2 linked regions of the Mus musculus genome follow. The protein of the gene in region 1 binds, or shares a complex with, the protein of each later gene. Links are inferred from orthologs where the notes say so. Each region holds a gene or a part of one and is shown in the gene's direction. Other genes may lie near its edges.

Region 1 (4,023 bases):
GCCTTAGTGACTCCATCACCCCATTTTACAGATAAAGAAGAGGGCCCTCAAACTCACCCAGTAGCACCCTGCTCCGCCCACCATGCGGTCCTTTCTATGCTGCCTGCTTGTGCCTCTAGTCACACAACCTCTGAGTTGGGATAAGACCTCTCTGCCCTTTCCTCTCCTCCGCAGTCAGCCCTCGTTCTTTGTCCCTTTCAGTTCACTTTGGTCTTCCTAGCCAGCCTCTGTAACTTAAGGCGCACTCCCTGAAGGCGGAGAAATGAATGCCTCCCCTACTAGACACATCTGTGGAGTCAGTTGTTTATGCAAAGACAGTCATGGAATCAGCCTATCTCATTCCTCTCAAGTTCAATGCCTGTGCCTCCCTTGCCCCTCTGCTTAACCAACTCCTTTGCATCCCGTAGGCTCCCTTTCTCTGATTTGTCCCCAGAGAATAGTACTTTCCATTTCCGACACTGGCTCCTCTACTCAAGTTATATGCCAAAGGCATCAACCAACAGTGAGGTGGGAGCATGCGCAGATGCGTTCCTTCCGTGCAGGGGTTGGTGTACACCCCCAGGTAGTGGGGATACTTGCCCATCTCCCCCTTTCGTTGGCCCATGTAAACCAACCACCCCACGTCGTTACCCTTCTCCTGGGGCCTCAAAGCTCTGCCCAGCTGGGGCAGCGTGGACTCGCACAGACCCATCCCGCCCGCAATGCCGGGGTACGCTGGGGCCCTGTCTCCACCCTGCACCGAGTCCCCGGCTCCGCTCTACGTCACAAGGGACTCATTTTGCAAGATCCTCGGGATCCCCATATCCCAGGACACAGAAAACTGAACCTCAGACCCGCCCCAGAAGAGCCGAAGAAGCCACCCCACAGAGTGGGCCTCGGTTGCCATGGCAACTCGGCCTCCGTTCCCGCTTCTTGGACACATTTACGCTTGCGCAAGAGGATCGAGTTCGCGTCTACCAGGAGACTCCATTTCCACCCTACCCAGGATGCTCCGCGGTGCCTGCGTCGTGACGTCACGACGGGCGTGTCTACACGTGACTTTTCCGTGGTATATAAACAGAGAACGCCGCCAAAAGGTGGCTTTCTCTCCGAAGCTGGTGATCTAGAGTAGTTACAGCGGCTGCGCTCTTCTCGGTGTGGCAGCTCAACTTCCGGGTCAGGCTCTAACGCATGCGCAGAGAGTTAGGTCTCTTTTTCTCGTCTTCCAGCATTCTCCGAGACTTAAGGATTTGGAAATCCAAAGCACAGCATCACACTAACGTGACAACCAGGAAAGGTGCCTTCCCTTTCCTGGAGCCGAGGGACACAACGAAGTTCATCCCGTCAGGCCGACCGGGAGCAGCTTGAGCAACGGCCATGGCGGCTCTAGTGAGTATGAATGAGGTGGGGACAGAGGTGTCGCAGAACAGACCCCGCGCCCTCTCCTCGCCTTACAGACCCCTGCTCTCTTGCAGGGCTCCAGCAGCCAGAATGTCACCGAGTACGTCGTCCGAGTCCCCAAGTAAGTCCCCGTCCACCCACACTCCAGAACCTCGGCCCTGTGTTCCCCTGCCACCCCGTCCAAGACACAGTAACAGTTACCCCTTGGTAGTTAATGTCAGGGGTCGGTGACTTTGCCCTGAGTCAGACGGGTCAGGTCAGACATGGTGACTGCCTTTAATCTCAGCACTTGGGAAGCAGATGTAAGAGAATTTCTGTGAGTTCGCAGCCAGCCAGGTCTGTATAGTGAGTTCCAGGACAGCCAGGGCTACATAGTCGGGTCCTGTCCCAAAATAAAAGAAAACCCCAAACTGGTCACAGGTGGTATACATCCTGTTTTTTTGTGCCAAGTGCCATGTCCCTCAACTTCTAACTTTATTTTAGGTGGGTACATGCTAGGCAAGTACTCCACCACCGAGCCACACCCAGCCCCCTCTTAAGTTTTGTTTATTTTGAAGACAAGAGTCTTACTGTGTAGTTCAGATGGTTTGATCAGGCTGGCTTTGAACCCACTCAGATCCATTAAGACCCTTGCCTGCCTGCCCTTCTTTCTACATAGGGGTCCTCCGCACTTTTGGTTCCTTTTTTCTTTTTTTCTCTTTTGGTTTTTCGAGACAGGGTTTCTCTGTGTAGCCCTGGCTGTCCTGGAACTCACCTTGTAGACCAGGCTGGCCTCGAACTCAGAAATCCACCTGCCTCTGCCTCCCAAGTGCTGGGATTAAAGGCATGTGCCAACTCTGCCTGGTGGTCCCTTTGTTTCTTGAAGATTTAATTTATTATCTATGTGTATGAATGTTCTCTCTTGTCTCTCCTCTCTCACTCTCGCTCTTGCTCTCGCTCTCACTCTTTCTGTATGTGATGCTGTAAGAGAGCCTAGTGTCTGTGGATCTTTATCTGATGGGGTTGGGTTGGATGAGATGGATCTTGATTCTTTAAAACAAAACAAAACAAAACCCCTGAAAAACTAGAGCGTGGTTCTCAACTTGCAGGTTGCCTAAGACCATCGGAAAACACAGATATTTACATGACCATTTATAGCTTACAGTTGTGAACTAAACAAAAATAATTTTATGATTGGGTCACCGCAGCATGAGGAGATGTATTAGAGGGTCAGAGCTTTAGAACCATTGCTCTGGAGTCTTTTATGAGTTCCCAGAATTACCTACAACCAAGGGTGTAAAGCATAGATTTGTTGAATGAATAATCAATAGATTGAATAGTTTCTTGCCCATTCCAGGAACACAGCCAAAAGATACAACATAATGGCTTTTAATGCAGCCGATAAAGTCAACTTTGCTACCTGGAACCAGGTAAGTGGGTGATTCTGGGTGGCTGGGGCAGGGACCTAACCCTGGGCTGGTGACTATGTATAGTAATAACTTTACTGAAACGATGGTGCCCACACCTGTGGCTCCAGCAGATTTGTGATTCCAGCCATTTGGTGGCTGAGGCAGAAAGACTGAGTGTTTTAGACCAGCTTGTGCTACATAAATCCTAGCTCCAAAGAAAAGAAGTGCAAAGCAAAGCAAAGCATGTCAGAGGATGTGGTTCAGTCAGTAGAGCACGAATCTAGCATATATGAGGCCAAGCTGGATCCCCAGCGCCATGTATACTAGCCATGGTGGCACACGCCTGTCATCCCAGCACGGGAAGGGGGTAGGACCTCAAACTGAAGATGATCCTTGCCTGCACAGTAAAGCCCACGATACATATAGACGGTGTCTTTTTTTTTTTTTTTAATGGTTTTTCAAGACGGGGTTTCTCTGTGTAGCCCTGGCTGTCCTGAAACTCACTTTGTAGATCAGGCTGGCCTCCAACTCAGAAATCCACCTGCCTCTGCCTCCCAAGTGTTGGGATTAAAGGTGTGCGCCACCACTTGCCAGCCACAGACCATGTCTTAAAAAAGTAAAGTAGTGGGTAGCAAGATAACTCAGTGAGCAAAGAGGTGGCTCCAAGTGTGTCCTTGGATCTCATACAGGCAATGTCATGTACAACCTCCACAAAAAGAAATACACTTTAAAAGTTTGGGGTTTTTGTTTTTAAGAAAAAGCCAGCTGGCCGTAGTGGCACATACCTTTACTGCCAGTTCGAAAGCAGCAGAGTCAGTGGATCTCAGACTTCAAGGCCAGCCTGGTCTGCATGGTGAATTTCACTGTAGTGAGACCCTGTCTCAAAAGGATAAAATGATTCCACAAGATGGGTATAGCCAGAGATACTACTATCCCAGCACCAGGGAGGTAGAGGCAGGAGGATCATAAGTTTGAAGCCAGCCTGGGCTACATAACAGGACTTTCTAGATAATACTAAGAATAAAAAAAAAATGTTAAAGGCCAAAGTTTTAAACTATCCACTCTTTTGGGTGCCATGTTAAAATGTCACTATCTTCATATTGTTGAGGTTGCTCCTGGGCCTTCCTCAGGTGGTCACTATACATCTTTAGTCTCTGTACTCCATGATCTCATGAACCAGTCTGCTTTACTGTTATTGTAGTAAGTCCCACATTCCCTGTGACCAGAGTATTCTGTGTGTGTGATGTTTGTATGC
Region 2 (2,611 bases), on another chromosome or scaffold:
GTCCAGAGTGAGTCCTTTGGATCTGGAATTTCAAACTGTTGTGAGCCATCGTGTGGGTACTGTGAACTCAACCTGTGACCTCTAAAAAGAGCATCACTTAACTCCCGAGTTCCCTCTCCAATGCAGCGTGTATATGCCGCCTTACCCTGCTGGGCTCTTTTCAGGGTTCTTGGCTCTGCCTGCTGTTTTTCATTTGTTTTTTTGTTTTTGTTTTTGTTTTGTTTTTTGTTTTTTTCTGGAACTTGTTGATTTTCTGGGGTAGGAACAGGAAGTGACTTCAAAGGAGGATTCTGATGCCCACATAACCATAATCAAATATTACAATCTCCTTTTTGCTATTGATGAATGATTAGCATTTGACCGACACTGAATGAGAACATAATTTTTTTTGTTTTTTGAGACAGGGTTTCTCTGCGTAGCCCTGGCCGTCCTGGAACTCACTTTGTAGACCAGGCTGGCCTCAAACTGAGAAATCCACCTGCCTCTGCCTCCCAAGTGCTGGGATTAAAGGCGTGCAATACCACGCCCGGCCTAATTTTTGTTTTTTATTAGCATATAACTACACATAGTAATGGGTCCCACTGTGACATTTTTATTCAAGTATATATTTTGATCATACTTATTTCCCCCCATTACTGCTCACTTCATCACAGTCTTTCTGTGTTTTTATTTTCCGCTACAATCAGCTTGCTTCTCCAGAAAAAGTTACATAAGTTTGAGTTGGCCTGTTTAGCCAATCTTTGCCCGGAGACTGCTGAAGAGTCCAAAGCTCTGATTCCAAGGTTAGTACCGGATGGGATAGATTTCTGTCTATTTTCTATAGATTTCTATAAGTCAAATTGCTAGAACTAAAAGTTGTATGCATTTAATATTTGGGTTAATGACATGGCAGCATTGAATAGGAATGTAGTTGAATGGTGTTTGAGATAGGATTTGGGGATTGGTTTTGTGGTTTGTTGGTGGTAGTCTCAGGTAACCAAGGCTTTCCTTGAACATCTTGATTGTCTTGCTTTCACCTGTCAAGGGCTGGGATTACAGGTGTAAATGGTCATGCTGGCTTAAGAATAGTTTGAGTTGCTGGGCAGTGGTGGCGCACGCCTTTAATCCCAGCACTCGGGAGGCAGAGGCAGGCGGATTTCTGAGTTTGAGGCCAGCCTGGTCTACAGAGTGAGTTCCAGGACAGCCAGCCAGGCTACACAGAGAAACCCTGTCTCGAAAAAAACAAAACAAAACAAAATTAAATTTACATCATGTGTGACTGTTGAAGCTTTTAAAAATCTTTTTTCTATTTACAACTTTTTAGTGCTTATATAAAGGAATGTCAAAAACCATTCAGTTTAAACTTCGAGGCAGTAGAGCTAAGCGAGCTGCTCGGAGATGAGCCTCCTTTGACAGACTGGGGAAACCTCCAGCGGCCAAGTCACTTACATTTCTTGGTTTTCTTACAGCCTGGAAGGGCGTTTTGAAGATGAGGAGCTGCAGCAGATTCTCGATGACATCCAGACGAAGCGCAGCTTCCAGTACTGATCCGCAGACGTCACTCTGCTCCTTGAGTTACAGCACCACGGTCTGAAGCCTGGGGAGGCCTCATGCAGGAACATTGCTTCAGAAGACGCTGGAGCTTCTTTCGTAGTTTTTGCTTCACTGCGAGAGAGTGTCTCTCCAGTTCTCAAAGTCATAACAGTCCTCCTGCCTCAGCCTCGCAGGTGCTGGGATTACAGGTGTGAGCCAACACTTTCAGCTTGGCTTCTGGAGAGGAAAGAAAGGCTGGCTATTGATGCTGTAGGTGCTATCTTCACAGTGACTGTTAGACCATAACTACCATCTGCGCTCCTTGCAGCCTTTTAAGGCTGCTGTGGTCAGGCAGGCTGCCATCCTGAACTGCTGAGGTAGAATGATGTTCAAACATTCGTTGACTACTTCGTACCGTGGTTTTTTTGGACCCCATGTTACTATTTTTTTGTTCTTGACACTTCAGATTTTAATGTCAATTATTTTGTAGTTTTTGAAGCTAAAATGATATATAAAAAACTTGCATAGGAGAGGAGTGTTTTCACTTGGTTGTAAAGGGGAGAAATAAACCAGAACACTGTTTTTTTTTAAAAGAATTGTATTTATTTGTTAATGGGGAGAGGGTACATGATCCATGGCACATGTGTGGGGGGCAGGAGTCAGTTCTGTCCAAAGTCTTGTACATACTAGAAAAGTGCTGTACCATTGAGCAACACTCTAGCCCAGAAGTTGCTTTTGTTTGTTTGTGTGTTGTACATATGTATGTGCAAGTGTGTGCATCTATGTAAGGAGACTAGCAGAGGACATTGGGTGTATACCCATATTTCTGTCCTTTGAAATGGGCTCTGTCTCACTGAACCTATATCTAGGCTGGATGACCAAAAGCCCCAACAATCCTGTCTTCACTTTCTCTTTTTGCTTGTACCTTGGGGTTCAAGGCATGTACAGTGGGAACACAGCAGTCTTTTCACTAACGGTAGTGCTAATGGACAGACTCAGGTCTTCATGCATAGCACATACCCTTATTCACTGAGCCAGTCCCCAGCCACCCTGCAATGTTTAAAGAGTGAGAGACAGTTGACTAAAAGAACTTTGCCAC

Evidence for each region. The genes of interacting proteins can lie anywhere in the genome.
Region 2: Gtf2f1 (region 1) and Polr2d share a complex: the UniProt entries of both Homo sapiens proteins name them as parts of the TBP-based Pol II pre-initiation complex. The link is inferred for Mus musculus from reciprocal best matches to the Homo sapiens genes GTF2F1 and POLR2D.

Annotation. Positions count from the first base shown.
Region 1 is NC_000083.6:57,008,454-57,012,476, reverse strand, and holds the start of Gtf2f1 (general transcription factor IIF subunit 1), read left to right. Parts: upstream 1-1,188; 5' UTR 1,189-1,356; coding exon 1,357-1,368; intron 1,369-1,454; coding exon 1,455-1,501; intron 1,502-2,716; coding exon 2,717-2,789; intron 2,790-4,023. UniProt on the Homo sapiens protein: TFIIF is a general transcription initiation factor that binds to RNA polymerase II and helps to recruit it to the initiation complex in collaboration with TFIIB. It promotes transcription elongation.
Region 2 is NC_000084.6:31,794,602-31,797,212, forward strand, and holds the end of Polr2d (DNA-directed RNA polymerase II subunit RPB4), read left to right. Parts: intron 1-686; coding exon 687-782; intron 783-1,448; coding exon 1,449-1,527; 3' UTR 1,528-2,108; downstream 2,109-2,611. UniProt on the Homo sapiens protein: Core component of RNA polymerase II (Pol II), a DNA-dependent RNA polymerase which synthesizes mRNA precursors and many functional non-coding RNAs using the four ribonucleoside triphosphates as substrates.